Linked DNA regions of Saccharomyces cerevisiae S288C. Changing the gene in region 2 together with the main gene of any one other region gives a genetic interaction. Each region holds a gene or a part of one and is shown on either strand. Other genes may lie near its edges. The genes, in order: TOF1, RAD17, RAD18 and MRC1.

Region 1 (5,932 bases), on a different chromosome or scaffold from region 2:
TAAAAAAGGTCGTTCTATAATAAAGAAAAAGGCTCCTCAACGCAAGATACAAAAGAAGAAGTTACTCCAAGATTTGGATGATTTAGAAGAGCAATTTAGAGAAGAAAGCGCAATTGATCAGACTGAATTTGAAAACGCTGAGTCTAATGTAAAACAAAATATATCCTCGAAGAGGGCATCTTCTGGAGACGAGAACTCTAAGAAGGATAATAATGAAAAAACTTTAAAGACAAACTTGACGATAGGCGACAAAACCCAAGAACAAATAGGGGAAAATAGTCCTAGTAGCGGATTGCATGCGTCTTCAAGCAATGATGACAATTTCGATGATGCCCAGGAACAGCAATAAATTATATAATATTTAATTTTATGTGTCCTAATGGACATTTGAGTTCCTTAAGATGTTCAACAACTTAGAAAAATATAGGTAATGATAAAGAATGAATCGCATGTATTGTTTTAATATTATGTCAATACTTTGAACTTAAAAACAGAGTAAAGAAGTGGTTCTAAAATTACACGTATTAAAGGGATTAATTACTACATATTCATTCTCAATCATCACTATCACCTTGGCTCAAAACAACTCTAGACTTTTTGCCAAAAAGGCGGATGGCCTCTTCATCTTCATCGCTTTCATCGGCTGCACTCGCTTCCAAAGAACGCTTTGTAGATTCTTTTCTGCTATACACCTCAGATTGGAACATATTTTGCGAATTTGATGGCTGTGATGAGCCCAAACTATTTCTTGATTCCGAGTTGACATCGTCATCAGAGAGTTGATTATTATTGTTATTATTTACATCGAAAATAGACATTTCAGATGCCACGTGGCTTGCTAAAGAAATGAGGCTTTTATCTGGCGCAAAGGAACTACTTTCTGTAGCTCTTATGCTTTCAATACTTGGTATGGATCCACCAAACAAGCTCGTATAATCTCCTGTCACAACACCCCCATTATTCATCCTTTCCGCGGCAAATTTGGCAAACTGGATATATCTATCCTCGGTCAACTGACCATTGTTTTTATCTAGTAACCATCTCATATATGTTTCGTTTTCAAAAAATATAGGGTTCATCAAATCCTCGTCATCTTCTGAATCACTAATAAACTCTTTACTGAATACGCCATGGCGTTCTCTAACGGTCTGAGGTCGTTCATCATCCTGGTCGCCAAACATTGGCAAATTAGTCTTGGCTTCTCCTTTCCTACGCTTCCTCTTATCTTTTTTTTTGGATCTCGCAATCCCTTTACTGAATTTGGTACCTTTAAGTTTATCTGATGCATTGTTATCTAAATCCTTGAAGTATGCTGCGTCGCTTTTCGATAAAATTTGATCATCTGGAACAATGTAGGGATCGTTGTAATCATAATCATCGTCTCCTTCCCATCCATCTTGTTCATTGTGAGAAAAACTATCCTTTTCTGAACGAACTCGTAGAAGATAGGAAGAAGAAGGCAGTCCGTTTGGAGTTTCAAATGGTGTTGATAAGTATTTTTTCACTAGTTCACAAGAAACAGTCAGGTCAGAAACTTCAACAGTCCCCGGTAAAAAACAAGGTTCATTGATTTTACGTGGAATGGAGTATCCTATCAGCAACAATAAAGCCCTGTAGTCCTTATCTTTAAAAATAGGGTCGTTGTTGAGTACACCTGTCAATGTGAAATATTCATTGGGTGGATTAACTGTTTCTTTCCCAGCATTAACATTTACGGTTAGCCACGACTTAAAAATATCTAGTGTGTGGGTTATATGCTTGAGCAGTTGGTCCAATAGTTCAGTTTTTCCATCATCAAGTAATGTGGAAACTAAAACACCATATTTCATATCCAACAAAATCGAAGGTGGTAAGGCTTCTTCATCGGGAATTGGTTTGAACTGTGATGCAGGAGCGGCATACATTGATTCATTATTAAGTACATTATATTCACCATATCTTTGGTAAAATCCTACTTCACTATTGTGTAATGGCGGGAAAAGTAATCCAACAAACCAAGCAGGTGATTTCTTTAACCTTTTCTTCAACCTGGCGAGGAAGTAGTCTGAAAATTGACTCACATATTTCCTTGAACGAGACATTCTATCTAATCCGTCAGGTGAAAGCATTTCTCTTAATAATATTATCAAATCAAATCTAAATAACAATGCCTGTTCTTTTGCCTGAACAAATACTCTATGGAAAAAGGAAAATACTTTTTTAATGGAATCGTCCTCAAGCTCACGAAATCTTTCAAGGAAATTAATGTACGTTTCTATTACCGGTTCTGTCATATAGTTGGCTTGCACCTTTTGAAAATTGACTTCTATACTTCTTAAAGAAGAGGTTAGAATATCAAGCGCTTCATCTCTATCTACATTTTCTTCTTCTATCAATTTAGTAATATCACCTTCTGAAATATTAAACTTTTTTTGCCGTCTTGATTTGCCTTCAATAACTAATGTTTTATCGTCAGAGTATTGCTCTAATACTTTCAATACCGAGTGTGTTAGTTCAATGCAACTTTTCATGAATTGGAGGGAGTATTTGGAACCAATCTTCGGCAGATTTGACAGTAATTGTATTCTCTCGTCACTGAAAAGCCTACTTACAATGAATTCTATATCGGTCGAATCCTCTTCTTGAGCGGCCTTTGTACGGGAAACGAGGTTCAACAGTTCATTAAATGCAATCATACCAGCATGTGTCACTGTCCAATTTTTCAGGTCATATGCGCTTCTTAAAAGAGAAGACACTAGAATGAAAGTCACCTCTTTCAAGGCTTCTGAAACTTGCTTTATATCTGCGGAATTGTCGATTTTGGACCTCAACAACTGGTATTTAACAAACCATGCAAAGAAAAGTAAATATTCGACTTGCTCCAAAGTTACCATCCTATCCTGCTCAGTTGTGAAGTAGTTCGTCACACTATGCAACAAGATGTTAAAGCCGGAATCTATAAAGTTGTTGATGAATTCTTTGAAATGTTTACCATTTGATTCGGTGAAAAAAATAGCTTTACCGGTTTGTGAATTCAAGAGACTATTCGGTAAGCCCTCAGCTGCGACAGATTGATGCTTTTTAATTATTCTTTTATTCCATTTTTTGCTGTCATCTAGTTTTTGGAGCGCTATTTTTTCATCTACGAGAGCTTGGCTACCAGAAACAGTTAACCTAGTTTTATCTGGTGTTTGTATAGATAAAAGACCACCAAATCTGGAGTGTCTTGCAGATGTATGCTTGATAACGTTTTTTCTCATTTGGTGTTCCTTTTGTAATAACTTCGATAGTTCAAAACCTGCACTTGTAACAATGTTATTAGCAGAGGAGCTCTCATTTTTATTTACCACCTTTGAATGTGTCCCGGTTTCGAACTGTCGAGGGAATAGCAGTTCTTGGTTAACATCTTTAGTGAAGTAGAACATAATCTCCAACAGTGGGATATTGATAAAGTCCTGGTCAAACTCTTTTGATAAGGAGCTGGTCAGCGTTAAGAGGAAACCGAATACCTTGTTTTTATGGAATGAGGAAATAACCGTATTTAAAGAGATGTCATCCATAGAGACGTTTGGTGGCAAAGTATCGATAGATGTGATACCTTTCTTAGGCATGCTTTTCTTAGTATTGATAGTAAATTCACCGGGTTCTATAGCAATGACATTTCTGAAAAAATTCAAAACCAATTTGAGAACCATATTGTCCCTAGGAGTTCTTGATAATCGGTCGATTTTGATAACATCCAGAGCCAATCTAATGGCAGCTCTTAACACTTTACCACTTTCCATAGACAGAATCGTTTTCTTGTATACCAATTGATGCTTCTTTAGCTCACCATAGAGAGTAATTTGATTTGATGAAGACTGTTCAGTTACAATTAAAGGCCAAGTCATAAGGACCAATAGTTGTAGACAATTTAGCGCAATTTTATCGTAATAAGCTTTGTTTCTAAACTCTTCATGGTCTGGGTTGTTCTTTGCAAGCTTTGCTGCAAGAGAACATTTGTTTTCCCAATCTATCAGAATAGGTAACAGATCATCCGTCAAGATGCGATATTCAGCTACTGCCATTGCCACATCCCATCTTTTCTGCTGGTCATCCACTAGTTTAAACCATCTTTTCAGATCTTTTAAGCACGCCAAACAGTCATCGCCAAGCTTATAAGGGGGTGGGTCTATCTGGGAAGTATAATCCGGCCCACCGATGGCAGTTGCCAATAAAGCAATTCTTGCTCTAAGTACCGTCAGAGAGAAATCAGCCGCATTTGTAGTGCCTTGTTGCAAATCAGCAGACATAGTGTGCGCCCTCCTATATTAAAGATACACTAAACCCCACAAGCTAGATGGTATTATCATATGTGAGGCGACTTACGAACCATATCTCATTTGAAAAATCCTTAATACTCATTTTAATTTTTCATCGTAAACGCGTAATGCGGCAGTAAACGCGTCAAAGTAGCATAATGGAAGGGCCATTTCCACAGGGAAGCAATTCATACAGGGCACTACCCAGTTGTGATAGTAACACAGAACAGCTTCCTAAAGCAAACGGTAGGGATGCCTATATACAGGACAACTACTGGTTATTTCGCTGACTTGATATGAGAAGTGGCAGTGAAAACCAGCGTTATGAACGGTGAAACCGAGCGGGGATGGATGAAAAGTACGTATAACTCTGTATACACCTCACTTGGCTTCATAATGTGGTTCCGCCATCTGATTGCGTTGCTGTGGTCTTCAGAATTCCTGAAGGACGACGCAATTAGCTCTAGAGCTTCTCCAGGCATTTATTACGTAGGACCGAGAGCGGACTTAAAATCTGCAAAAGTCTTGGCAGGGGGCGGGGATAACAAGGCAATCTTATCCCATTTTTCACTAATCTCGAGCATATAAAAAGTAAATTCTATTGGCCTTGTTGTTACGTTAGGGAAATCCTTCTACATGATTATTGCTCTACAATACCGAAGTATTAACAATACATAAACGAGCAAGAAGAGGAGAAGAGAATATGAGTAAGAAACCAATTGTTTTGAAATTAGGAAAGGATGCCTTTGGTGACCAAGCCTGGGGGGAATTGGAAAAGATTGCGGATGTAATTACCATCCCTGAATCCACCACTAGAGAACAGTTTTTGCGGGAGGTAAAAGACCCACAAAATAAGCTCTCCCAAGTACAAGTCATTACTAGAACAGCAAGGAGTGTGAAAAACACCGGTAGATTTGATGAAGAGCTTGCTCTTGCTTTGCCCTCCTCCGTAGTGGCTGTATGTCATACTGGTGCTGGTTATGACCAAATTGATGTTGAGCCATTCAAGAAAAGGCACATCCAGGTTGCCAATGTTCCTGATTTAGTTAGCAATGCTACCGCTGATACGCATGTATTTTTGCTATTGGGTGCCCTAAGAAACTTCGGTATTGGTAACAGAAGGTTGATCGAGGGAAACTGGCCGGAGGCAGGACCCGCATGTGGTTCTCCCTTTGGATACGACCCTGAAGGGAAAACAGTTGGTATACTGGGTCTAGGTAGGATTGGTCGTTGTATTTTAGAGAGATTGAAGCCGTTTGGGTTCGAGAATTTCATATATCATAACAGACACCAGCTTCCTTCCGAAGAAGAGCATGGTTGTGAATATGTAGGATTCGAGGAGTTTTTGAAGCGTTCTGATATAGTATCTGTAAACGTCCCACTGAACCACAATACTCACCATCTAATCAATGCAGAGACTATTGAAAAAATGAAAGATGGTGTAGTTATTGTTAACACAGCGCGTGGTGCCGTGATAGACGAACAAGCCATGACTGATGCTTTGCGTTCTGGAAAGATTAGAAGTGCTGGTTTGGACGTTTTCGAATATGAGCCAAAAATATCCAAAGAGTTATTATCGATGTCCCAAGTCTTAGGACTGCCTCATATGGGCACACATAGTGTAGAAACAAGAAAGAAAATGGAAGAACTGG
Region 2 (3,430 bases):
TAATAACTTCCCATGAGTTCTATATTTCCCGGCTTCAACGGACATAATAAATTATCTTGGATTCCACATAGATCAAAAACTTTGGTATAAACATTGAGACCATATGCAATCAATTCTGCCTTGATGGTTATGTTTTCGCTCATAATTGTTTGTGCTTCAACATTAAAGAATAGAGTATTATTTCTCGGGAAAAAAGCAGCTTCGAAATACGATGCAGAAAACTGTGAGTCTTTAGCACAAGTCAACAGAGCCGAAGTCCTTAGATATTCTTTAGTATATGCATCAAATGGTACTGGGAATAGAGTCGATGCGTTGTTCAGTAGTGTAAAAGAGTTAGAAACCTGGAAAGTAGAGCTGTTAATGGAAATAGCGTGTATTTGTCGGAAGATTGCTAGCAAAACAAAAATCCGAGATAAAGAGAAGACTTTAATGGGAAGCATACTTATTCTCTTTACATCTATAAATCAGAGAGGTTAAATATTATTTAAAATAGCATTACGACTTTGCTTCATCATCCTTCCAAAATATTGACACTGCATCATTTTTTAAATGTGTCAGTAATTCGGGCACAAAAATATAAATGGACCGCCATGAACTAAAGCTGTCGTCGATATGGATCGCTCCATAGCAGCATTATAAAAATTAAAAATGCATCAATACCATGCTACAGTAATAACAAAATACAGCATGGATTACCACTACATATTCATCATGTCATGCATTATAGTTGTAACATATGCTGAACACCCATTCATCACGTGTAATTGGACATCCGTGGAGTTCCAAAAGGAGTATAAACGCAAATAGTAAAGCTAAGATATAAGTAGTGTCTAAGTAAATGACTTCTTTGTAAGCGTACAGCTAAAGTTTACCGATGAGTTACGATAAGAAGGCAGATGTCACATCCTTAGATGAAGATTTGAGACAACTAAGAGAAAGCAAATTTTCACCGGAAGCAATTCAAAATATCAAAATATGGGTATATAAATCTGTCCTAAAAGAGATAGCTCCTCCTGGAGACTTATTGGAATGCTTGAAAGATGGAACAGTCCTATGTAAGCTGGCAAATATTTTATATGAAGCAGACACAGGAGAAGCTAACCATATTAGTTGGAAGAGCTCTAAAATGCCATTTGTTCAAATGGATCAAATTTCCCAATTTTTATCATTTTCGAGAAAATATGGTGTGCCTGAAGATGAACTGTTTCAGACAATTGATCTTTTTGAGAAAAAGGATCCTGCCATTGTTTTCCAAACGTTGAAGTCACTATCTCGTTACGCCAACAAAAAACATACAGATAGATTTCCAGTTCTAGGACCACAACTGTCAACAAAGAAGCCAAGACCCCCGGTTAAGTCTAAACCAAAACATCTACAAGATGGTACTGGATGGAGCACTTTTGAATACGGTTATATGAAAGGTGCATCTCAGGCTACTGAAGGAGTGGTGTTAGGACAACGGAGAGATATAGTTTAGAGAATTATTATTAACACTTTCTCTGGCAGAAATTGATAAATAAACATTTAAGAACCCTATATACGCAACCAAAGTTCCTTTGATATATTTTAGTTTTCCATCAAAGTTTTCCTACATAAACACTAAGGTGGCTAGAGACGCGTAACAAAAGTTAACGTTACCGGTAAAAATGTGATTATACAAATCAATCTCACAGAACGGTGTGGAAACAAAGTAGTTGAAGGATTTCAACTATGCGAATCAACAGTGAGCTAGCGAACAAGTTTTCTGCCTCAACGGTGCACTTAGAACATATCACAACTGCTTTAAGTTGTTTAACACCTTTTGGTTCTAAAGACGATGTGCTTATATTCATTGATGCTGATGGGCTGTCATTTGTCAGGGAGAATAATCATGTGATAAAAATCCAACTACTGTTATCTCGGGAGCTATTTATGTCTTATTCGTATAGAAATGAAACTGAGGATCACATGAAACTTTGTGTAAAAATAAATCATATCTTAGATAGCGTTAGCGTGATGAACAGGAATTCGGATGACATTGTTGAGTGTACTTTATCTTATGATGGACATGGATCACCATTTGTACTAATATTTGAAGACTCGTTCATTTCTGAGAGAGTGGAGTACTCTACCTACTTAATTAAGGATTTTGATACTAATGGACTAGAACTCGATAGAGAAAGGATAAGCTTTGAGGCAATTATTAAGGGCGAAGCCCTTCATTCAGCCTTAAAGGATCTAAAAGAAATCGGATGCAAAGAGTGCTATGTATATGCAAAGACCGAGGCGAATGATGAGAATGTATTTGCCCTGATATCTAAATCTCAGCTAGGATTTTCTAAAATAAAATTACCCAGTAACAGATCCATACTAGAGAAGTTACAAGTATTTGACGGAGATTCCACAACAGTAATAGATGGTTTTGCTGTAATTGGGTTCTTCGATTTCACCTCGTTTGATAAAATCAGAAAGAGTACTAAAATTGCAAGCAAAGTCCTTTTCAGGATGGATGTTCATGGCGTATTGAGTGTAAATATTCTAAGTCAAACAGACGATGTCATTATCACTGATACTACAAGACCTTCAAATAATCGACCAGGTAGTATTCGCCAACTGCAGCTACCCAAGGATTATCCCGGTATAGTAATTGAGGTTTGCATGCTAGAAAAAGAATCCATAGATGAGGCAGCACAGACAGAAATAGAACTCCTGATGGAGACTAATGAACTTGGCAATCGTAATAGTTTTAAAAAATCAACTATAAGAAAAAGATATGGTACAGATAAAGGCAATGAAACTTCAAATGACAACTTGCTGCAATTGAATGGGAAAAAAATTAAACTACCATCTGAAGAAGAAAACAATAAAAACAGGGAAAGTGAGGATGAAGAGAATCACTGCAAGTATCCAACAAAGGATATTCCTATATTTTTTTAAGTCAATATCCAGCATCGCAGAAAACGCAGAACTTCATTCAGCATTTGGTAATTTTATAACATATAACTTACAATTAAATAAAAGTTTAACTATATATTATTATGTGATCTAACTCTAGAAAAAGTACTAATGAACATCACACCGTTTATTGTTGGGAGAAGTGTTCCATGATCATGGACAATTCATCAGTTTCAGCACCCCAGTTCTTGACAACAACAACGGAGGCACCGACAACCTTTCTGGCGTTACCTTCACGGTCGATCTTACCCAAACCAGCCCATTCACCTAATTGCTTAGCATCAGCAACCTTGATCAATGGAACCTTGTTTTCTGGGTCGTTAGCCAAACCTTCAACCAACTTGATAATGTTAGCTTCAGTAACAGAGCTGACCAAAACAACCAATAAAGCTTCACCTCTGGTTAAAGCCTTGGTAGATTCTCTCAAACCTCTAGCTAGACCATCGTGAACCAAAGCGGTTCTCAAAACAACCTTCAAAGCATCTTCGATAGTAAC
Region 3 (3,893 bases), on a different chromosome or scaffold from region 2:
GAATAAATGGTGAACTCGCCAAGAAACCTCCATATTCGTATGCAACTTTGATTTGCTTGGCCATTTTGCAATCTCAGGAGGGAAAGCTAACGCTATCCCAGATATATCATTGGATCCACGTTCACTTCCCTTATTACAAGCAGAAAGATGCTAGTTGGCAAAATTCAATAAGACATAACTTGTCTTTAAATGATGCGTTCATCAAGACTGAAAAGTCCTGCGATGGTAAGGGTCATTTCTGGGAGGTCAGACCGGGTGCCGAAACAAAATTTTTCAAAGGTGAAAATCGTGGTTATGAATTTGTAAAGGACTCCTTACAAGACATTGGGAAGTATTTTGAAATAGATTCTACACTTGATGAATTAGAACAAGTTGAGAGTGGAGAAGGCAATGATGATCTTCCTGACGAGGAAGAAAGAGAGGAAGCAGGGAAATTCCCTTCCATTGAAATTCAATTGAACTCCTCCCCTATACTGAGAGTTTCCCAGTTACATCACATACCGCAATTGAAAACAGACAACAGTGTACTGAACCCTCACGAAAACCTAGAATCGATGCGGAACATGATAGAAAACGATGTCAACAATATAGATTCCTTGGAACCTCCTTATGTCATGAAGAAATATCATACTTCTTTAGGCTTACCGTCGCTGGTGAATGCCAAAGATCATTTCCAGGCGGGTGTGAAAAACAATAATATCACCCAGGCAAATAGATTTAATACACTCCCTATAACTAGCGCAAAGTCTCCTCAGAATTTCAGAAAATATTTCACCTCATTCAATTCAAATTTTGAAGATTTATCTCCACTTCGAAGTAATGTAGGGGCTGGTTCTCTACTCGACCCACTTCCGTATTCCCCATTGAAGCTGTACGATCAGAAAAATCTTGCGCTCATGTCGAAACCACAATCTCAGCAATCATATTCCAATTCTCAACTTCCACCTCCACCTTCCTCTCATGGTTCGGACTTACTTAAAACACCCAAGATGAGGCATTCCGATGGCTTAGAGAAAACCCCATCGCGGTTGATAAGCACACCTAAGGACGGTAACTCGATTTTGAGGAAATGGCAGACTCCTTCACACCTTTTTGAAGATTTGTACTGTTCTCCGCTATTTAGAGCTATAGAGACTCCAATCAGGTATATCACGACGCCGGGGGGCACTTTGGAAACCCAAATTTCACCAAGAAAGTCCTCTGCACCCGATGTCCTCACAAGCGCAACGAATTCCAAATTTGCTTCAAGCGGGCTGTTTGGCGTGGATGTTTATTCTGTTTGGAAGCGCGCAACTGAAAAGATTTCTGATGGTAACAATACTACGGATAGCAATCAAAAACATCATCCTTATCATAATCACCCTTCCAACGATAGCGGTAATGAAAAGAATTGACTTTTTTTTTTTTTTTTTTTCATTTTCTTTTCCTCACCGAAAACTAATTATTCTTAATCTGATGGATTCATCGCAAACGGTTGGATGAGTCCTAAACTGGGCTGGAGTTATCATATCACATAGCATTTTCTTTTTAATCTTATTGTATTGTCGGGTCAACTAACTTCTTTTCCCGCTCTTCTATGGTATAATCAATTGCAGAAGAGGCAGGAAAAAATTGTAATCATAACAAAAATGATACAAATTTTTTTTCTAAGTTTTATATTTTACATATCTTTATTTTTGATCCTTACGGATTTTTAATACAGTATTTAGCTGAAGTTTCCATTCACTTCACTTACCTTTTTGATCTCTTTTATTTTTACTTGCCCCGTTGCCTTGCATTTTTCAATAGAAAGTGAAAAACTAAGTACCACTTGAGCAATGCCACATTAGAAGAAAAACCATCCGCAAGTGAGCATCACAGCTACTAAGAAAAGGCCATTTTTACTACTCATGGACCACCAAATAACCACTGCAAGCGACTTCACGACTACTTCAATACCGAGCCTGTACCAATTGGATACACTTTTGAGATGTCACATTTGTAAAGATTTTCTAAAAGTCCCCGTCTTAACACCTTGTGGCCATACATTTTGTTCCCTTTGTATTAGAACACATTTGAATAACCAACCAAATTGTCCTCTCTGCCTTTTCGAGTTCAGAGAGTCCTTGCTGAGAAGTGAGTTCCTGGTCAGTGAAATAATTCAAAGTTATACATCCCTACGATCTTCCTTACTAGATGCACTAAGGATACCGAAGCCTACCCCTGTCCCTGAGAATGAGGAAGTACCAGGTCCTGAAAATTCTTCATGGATAGAACTCATATCAGAGTCTGAAAGTGACAGTGTAAATGCCGCTGATGATGACTTGCAAATTGTTGCAACAAGTGAAAGAAAACTTGCCAAAAGATCCATGACTGATATATTACCACTGAGTTCCAAACCATCCAAAAGGAATTTTGCAATGTTCAGAAGTGAACGTATCAAGAAAAAATCAAAGCCAAATGAACAAATGGCCCAGTGCCCCATATGTCAACAATTTTATCCTCTTAAAGCCCTTGAAAAAACACATTTGGATGAATGCCTAACTTTACAATCACTAGGCAAAAAACCAAAAATTTCTACCACTTTCCCTACAGAGTCAAATCCACATAACAAAAGTTCATCCAGATTCAAGGTACGAACTCCAGAAGTCGACAAAAGCTCATGTGGTGAGACCTCACATGTGGATAAGTATTTAAACTCAATGATGAGTGCAGAACACCAAAGATTGCCGAAGATCAATTTTACGTCTATGACTCAATCCCAAATAAAACAAAAACTGTCATCGTTGGGACTGTCAACTAATGGTACTAGGCAAAACATGATTAAAAGATACAATCACTACGAAATGCTTTGGAATTCTAATTTTTGTGATTCTCTAGAACCTGTTGATGAAGCTGAACTAAAAAGACAGTTGTTAAGCTGGGATGTTTCACACAATAAAACCCCCCAAAATAGTAGCAACAAGGGTGGAATTTCTAAATTAATGATAATGAAGAGTAATGGGAAATCTTCTTCATATAGGAAATTACTTGAAAATTTCAAAAACGATAAATTTAATAGGAAAGGATGGATGGTTATGTTTCGGAAGGATTTTGCTAGGCTTATCAGGGAAGCAAAAATGAAAATAAAAACAGGTTCATCGGACAGTTCAGGTTCAGTGGGACATTCTAATGATGGAGATGGTGTTGAAAAAGTTCAAAGTGACCAGGGAACCGAGGATCAGCAAATGGAGAAGGATCAGGACACTGTTATCAACGAAGATAGAGTTGCTGGTGAAAGAAATTTGCCTAACGAAGATTCAACTGATGCTGACTTATCAAGAGAATTAATGGACTTGAATGAATATAGTAAAGACCCACCCGGTAACAATTAAGGTGTGTATATGTAATCAGGCCTGTTTGTTAGCTTGTGCACATTTGTTAATTAATAATTTATTTAAAAATGGGCAAAATATAAATGCATAAAAGATGACATAGAGATATGTGCACAAAGCTATGTAATCATATTTAACATTAATATATATTATTTCGTTATTCACAATTCGTCATGAAGGCCAGCGTAGTTTACGGTTCCTGCTACTGCATTATCATCGTTGACAATGTTTGTATTCGAATTATTATTCAAAGGTGCTGCAATTGTTTGCGGAGGGGCCACTGGATTAGGCAAAGAAGTGATCTCCACGTTAAGTGCTGAAATAACTTCACTAGATAGAGAGACGTCTTCGGTAACATCTACCGTACCAGATGCCTGCATTTCCGTCGTAAGCATTCGGGAAACAGGAGTATTTACATTTTCGCTGATTTTGTGGCGTACCCCAAACGCTTCAGATGAATCTTTTGATGACTGTACTTCTATCATTATTTCTTTCTGTACAAATCCTGATGCATCAATTGAACTAGCAGATATTTTGTGA
Region 4 (5,541 bases), on a different chromosome or scaffold from region 2:
TCGTAATGGTCCTCGTATTTCAAGTTCTAAGGCGTTGTTATCATCATTCATTGCACGATCAGATACACATACGGTAAAAGAGAACAACACAAATCTTAAGCATGCATCTTTTATGGATAAGTTTAATTCATCGTTAAGCACAATATCAGAATCTTTTCAAAGTAAGAGGGGGAGAAAGAATAAGGGCATGAATGAAGAACGAATATCAAATCATAATGTAGCACAGGAACAAAAAAATAATATGGATATAAGCGTCTCTATAGAAGAATTGCAAGATGCTTTGAATACAGAACTGCTGTTTTAATTAATGCCTCCTTTACCTAACCTACTCTTCTTTTGCTCCAAATGTTTATTCTTTTTTTTTTTATTCAGAATATCTTCAAGTTTTTTTGTATCTTTTTGTATTATTATTAAACTTCTTTATAATATTTGTCTTATAAAATCCTATCATAACATGACTATGGCTTGGCCTAGACTCGGGTGCCATCTTTTTTAATGCGACTACTTCAAGACAGCTTCTGGAGTTCAATCAACTTCTTCGGAAAAGATAAAAAACCACTAATTATCAAAGCTATCTTGTCCGCTTTCAAAAAGTTTATTCGATTTTGTTTTCGTTTTCATTTTCATTTTTTTATTATGATGGTCATGGTGGTAGCGGTGGCTCCCTTCAGTTTTCCTCTTTGGTGCTATTAATTTTCTCGTTTTCCCCATATATGTGATAGAAGCTTTTGAACTCCCCACTGTCTTGTAAGACTTTAGAATCTTGACTGTCTTGTTACCTTCTTTAAACTTATCATTTATGTCTGTTCTGGACGCAAAGGATTTGATTATTGATGGATGTTTGAAAACGCCAACTAGTGATGTATCTCCATTTTCCACCTCATCTTCATCCTCTGGGCGCTTTTCTAAGTCAATTATTGTGTTTACTGTTTTTGAAGTGGTCGAATCAGTTTGAGAATTTGTGAATGACTTTATCGAACTATTCTGTTTTAGGGTATATAAATCTTCAATTGCTTCATCATTGCCATGTTGTATCCTTGATAGCTCCTTATCCGTTTCAAAATCCTCATAATTATTACTTTTTAGGAAGGATAAGCTTTTCTGCACAAAGTCTTCAGATATGATAACCTTTTTGTTCTTTTGATCTACAGGTTTCTGTTCATTATTTCCCGTATTATCACCTACATTAATGCTATTGTCCTGAGTATCTAGGTCAGTAGCCGTACTTGTAATGTCTAGGTTATATTCCTCTTCAGCCCCGAAGGGGTTTTTATATTCGATAATATCTTCCACCATACTTTCAAAAAATGCGCTCGACTTTGGGTTTTTAACAAGCTTTGCATCATCGCCAATTTCTAATCTCCTTTTTCTCATCAATTCTCTCCTTTTGAGACGATATTGTTGTAGTACGTCGTCTTCATCATCATCACTTAGTTCTAGCTCTAAGCTATTTTTTGCTCTTTTATTACGAAATCCTCCATTTTTAATGTCATAAAGAATTTTGTTTATCATTTTGATATCCATTTCCTTATTTTCTGCGGCAAGCATTTCTCTGATTTCATGAGGATTGAAATTGTTCTTGGAATAATCATCGATCATTTTTTCTAGGTCAGAATCATAGTCGTCAGATCCTTCTCCATCTGCACCACCGATACCATGCCATTCATCCTCGGATTCTTCGGCTTCCATTTCAAAGAAGTTTGTGACACCTCTTTTCTTCAACTCTTTTATCTTAGCCTCGTGCTCCTTTTCTTTCTGTTTTAGTTGCAATTTCTCTTTGTCAATCAGCTGACGGCGAATTGCTTCATCAGCTTCTTCATTGACGTATACATCATCTTTGACTTCATTTTCGATTGTATTTCTTTCGGCCATCACCTCTTCAATGTTTTGTGTATCTAGAACATTGGTTTCTTGAAATTTGTCGGTATCCTCTCCGATATTATCACCGTAATGGCCCAGATTAATGGCGATCCTTTTCGGTAGACTTTCATCAGCTTTCTCTTTGGGTTTGGCTTCGACTTCGGTATCAGAGTCTGATTCGTTAATGATATGTTTCACGTGGTGGGATTTTTTTTGCTTTAGAATAATTTCATCATCTTCCTTTTCACTATCGGATTCTCTACGATTGTCATTTTCACTACCAGATGATTCATAATCGGCAATTTCATTACCACTCAATGCAAATCCAGAAGACTCTGACCCTGAGTCAGAACCGGAATCATGGGCGTTCAATTGAAAGTCATTTTCTTCAAGTTTTTCCCTTCTCTTCTCTTTTTGTCTGATTCTTTTATTTCTAAGAATTTCTTGTTCTAGCAAGTTCTCTACTATTTCCTTTTCTTTGGCCATATCCTCCAGCTTCAGACCTTTCGTTTCAATCACTTCTTTCTGATGATCCAGAATTTGTTTCCTGCTAGCTTTCCTTAAGGTATTTAATAGTACATTATGATCAACTTTTGGGTCTTTACTTTTATTCGGCCTTTGAGACAACTTTTGATTTTGTTTAGAGAGTCTTGCCTTCAGGTTTAATATAGTCGCCTTTGATAACTGAGAGATTGGCAAAACGCTTTCATCTTTGGATAATTTAATGCTATCCATATCATCATCTCCATATTCGTCACTGTCGCTGTCGAGGTCCAGTGTTATGCATTTCGAGGAGTCAATTTCCCGTTTCAAATTATTAGCATAGGAGCTCAATAGTGGAACCCTTTTCTCATTTATTCTTGTCTCATCAGTTAGATTTAATTCAACACTTTTGTTCTCATGCAGTTCATCGTCATTCTGTACTGGTTTTGGATGTGCATTTTCCAGCTTTATATCATCGTCCTCATTTGAGGACGAATCGTCAAAATCAGCAAGAAAAGACTCTTTAGAAAAAAATTTTTTGGTTGGTATTGGCTTTTGCGGTTTTTTGTATTCGACATTTCTAGCTTTTTCCCTTTTAGAATCTTCTGAAGCCAATTCGCTTTGTATTTCCCGAATTTTTAATGTGTGTGGTACTTCATCTTGAAGTGTTTGTGCGACTGTATCTATTTGGGTTTTCTGTTCCTGATGCGTAGCCTGTGGAATACCAATTGCTTGTGTCTTATCCTCATCATGCGCAGTCTGTGGTGGTACATCCATTTGGGTGTCAGGACCACGATTTTGAATGGACTGAAATAAAGGACTAGTTCCAATAAGTTCCGTTGGAATTATAGGAATTTTCGGCGACAGAGCATTAGAATGATTGCTGGAAGTCGTAATTATTTGGGATTGTGGTTCAATTGATTTTATAGGCTGAGTTTGTGAGGTTGCACCGCTGCTATCTATACGCTGTGTAGCCCCTGGCCGTCCTGTCGTGAGAGGTGTTTTCAGCGCTTGAGAAGTTTCGTTGACGAGACCATCTTCTTTGATTAATTGGGTGGGTTTCCCGTCATTAACGGAATGGATAGGTACGTTAAACACCTTGTCTTGTTGGATGCTGACAGGTATTCTTTGCGTCTGCGTGAATGAAGAAGAGACATTTTTCTCACTGTAACTATTATCTTTAACTTCGGATTTCTCCAGCTCTTCACCACCATCGTAAAGATTAGAGATTAATTGAGTTGGTAACGAATTCTCACTCCTATCTTTTCCATTATTGTGATTCTGTTCGGGTGCTTTCTTGCCTTCTAATCTGTTCTTAACACGATTTAATGTGGCATTGGCAAATAAAAACCCGTTCCCAGTCAACTCTGGCGGATTGTCTATGTCATTGGGCCCATTTCCATTAGTATTATCGTTCTCATCTAGTATGGGAACAGCAACTTTTTTGTAGGTGGTAGTTCTCTTCTTTGCAGTCAACGAGGACAAAGCATGCAAGGCATCATCCATCACTAAAATATTTGGTGATAAGTTCAAAAGCGAATAACGAACTTCCTTAGTTGTTTGTCTGTTCTTGGTTTTTTTCCAACATAATGTGTTTGAAATGCTATTGAAGCAAACGCGTTTTACGCATTCTATCTCTTCATGACGCGTCGAAGAAGGATAAGGAAAATTTCAAGTATTGATGTATATCTCTCTGCATATGAGAGCCAGTAGAGTTGGTGTCCTAGTAAGAATTTCTTTCACTTTACAAACATATCTAAGTAAACGAAATGTGTGTGTGTTTCTATATATATATAGACATATATGAAGGATTCCGTAGCGGTGTAAACTAATTTTGGTTTGGCTTGTATGCTTCTTCTTCCGGAGCTATGAAATCTTTTGCTCTCTCTTCCTGCCTTTCGATTTCTCTTTCCATTTGCTTTTCCTTTTGCTCATTTAATTTCTTCATTTGCTTTTCTCTCTTGCTTAAGAAATACTCACCACTTTCAATTTCCAAATCAACCTTTCTAGGCAATTGGGCAGGAGGAAATGGAGTATAGACCTTCTTTTCGACGTTTCTGATCTTCTTGGGTTTCTTTCTGGCCACATTCCTCTTCTTAAACATGGGCAAGAATCTTGACCAATCTTCATTGGCTAACTCTGGCCTTTTTGCCAATTCTCTTTTTATCATTAATTCCTTGATATGATAGATAGGGTGAATATTTTTCATACAATCTTCTACTACTCGACGGACCTCCTTCAAGCCCTTGAAGGGACCCATGGCACTTACTGTGTTACCTTGTACTAGAATGTAACATTTAGTTAGAAGTTCCAAAGCCTTTAAAGTATTACCGTTAGGGCCTACAAGACGTTGTCTTCTCTTGACAAACCTTTCTTTGTTAGTAACGAAATTACCAATTTTAATAACGTCGCATGCCATGTCATCTTGTAGGATCTTAACGGCTTGCGGGAAAGGAACGGATCTCGCCAATAATTTGATCAAATCTCTGGCTTTCAAAATGATAGCGGGATCGTATGTTTTTCTAGTTGTTTTTACTGTCATAGAACCTTCGACTAAATCTAGAACACACGCTATGTTGTGTTTGTCTAGAGCCCTTGTTACATCATTCCAAATCGTCTTCAAGTAACTTTCTCTGTATTTAGGAAACAAAGTCATAAAACTGGACTCTTCAGCAAAAGGTTGACCGGATGCGTTATCCTCTTCCTTAAACTCCTCTATCTTCCATTTATCAATATCATCCGTATCCCAAGGTTTATCTCTGTTATGTGTAGACACCATCGTTTGCCAATTTGGATATTTGTGTGACCCTTTTGTTTGCTGTCTACTTTACAATAGTTAACCTCATCATCTCTTTTTTTTGAAAATTTTCATATCTCATCGCTAAAAGAATTAGAAATATAAGGAAAAAAAAATTTTCGTTTTCAGATGTGCAAGCCTGCTATAATAAGGTACAATAACTCAAGGGCATTTAGCAAGGAAAAAATGGGCAAGTGTAGCATGAAAAAGAAAGGTGTGGGCAAGAATGTTGGTGTTGGCAAGAAAGTACAAAAAAAGAGGTCGATCAGCACCGCTGAAAGGAAGAGAACAAAGTTACAAGTGGAAAAGTTAAACAAAAGTAGTGAAACAATGATACCGACGCTGCTGCGGGAGGCAAGTACACAAGAGCCAGCTAAACTGAAAGCTGAGACTACTTTGAA

The links.
Region 1: mutations in RAD17 (region 2) and TOF1 together harm fitness more than expected from each alone (negative genetic interaction), as found in Saccharomyces cerevisiae (6 studies listed by BioGRID, with this or other methods).
Region 3: mutations in RAD17 (region 2) and RAD18 together harm fitness more than expected from each alone (negative genetic interaction), as found in Saccharomyces cerevisiae (5 studies listed by BioGRID, with this or other methods).
Region 4: mutations in RAD17 (region 2) and MRC1 together harm fitness more than expected from each alone (negative genetic interaction), as found in Saccharomyces cerevisiae (8 studies listed by BioGRID, with this or other methods).

What each region holds. Positions count from the first base shown.
Region 1 is NC_001146.8:121,222-127,153, reverse strand, and holds TOF1 (Tof1p), read right to left. Parts: upstream 4,272-5,932; coding exon 555-4,271; downstream 1-554. Other genes in the region: guanine nucleotide exchange factor SEC2, read left to right, coding at 1-349; GOR1 (glyoxylate reductase), read left to right, coding at 4,984-5,932. UniProt on the Saccharomyces cerevisiae protein: Forms a fork protection complex (FPC) with CSM3 and which is required for chromosome segregation during meiosis and DNA damage repair. FPC coordinates leading and lagging strand synthesis and moves with the replication fork.
Region 2 is NC_001147.6:1,025,133-1,028,562, forward strand, and holds RAD17 (Rad17p), read left to right. Parts: upstream 1-1,710; coding exon 1,711-2,916; downstream 2,917-3,430. Other genes in the region: YOR365C (putative flavin adenine dinucleotide transporter), read right to left, coding at 1-440; SCP1 (Scp1p), read left to right, coding at 875-1,477; 40S ribosomal protein eS12 RPS12, read right to left, coding at 3,062-3,430. UniProt on the Saccharomyces cerevisiae protein: Component of the checkpoint clamp complex involved in the surveillance mechanism that allows the DNA repair pathways to act to restore the integrity of the DNA prior to DNA synthesis or separation of the replicated chromosomes.
Region 3 is NC_001135.5:229,611-233,503, forward strand, and holds RAD18 (E3 ubiquitin-protein ligase RAD18), read left to right. Parts: upstream 1-1,889; coding exon 1,890-3,353; downstream 3,354-3,893. Other genes in the region: HCM1 (Hcm1p), read left to right, coding at 1-1,394; GTPase-activating protein SED4, read right to left, coding at 3,515-3,893. UniProt on the Saccharomyces cerevisiae protein: E3 RING-finger protein, member of the UBC2/RAD6 epistasis group. Associates to the E2 ubiquitin conjugating enzyme UBC2/RAD6 to form the UBC2-RAD18 ubiquitin ligase complex involved in postreplicative repair (PRR) of damaged DNA.
Region 4 is NC_001135.5:18,258-23,798, forward strand, and holds MRC1 (chromatin-modulating protein MRC1), read right to left. Parts: upstream 3,850-5,541; coding exon 559-3,849; downstream 1-558. Other genes in the region: VAC17 (Vac17p), read left to right, coding at 1-304; ribosome biosynthesis protein KRR1, read right to left, coding at 4,172-5,122; FYV5 (Fyv5p), read right to left, coding at 5,266-5,541; ADF1 (Adf1p), read left to right, coding at 5,327-5,541. UniProt on the Saccharomyces cerevisiae protein: Required for normal DNA replication. Phosphorylated in response to DNA replication stress. Phosphorylation allows it to mediate the activation of RAD53.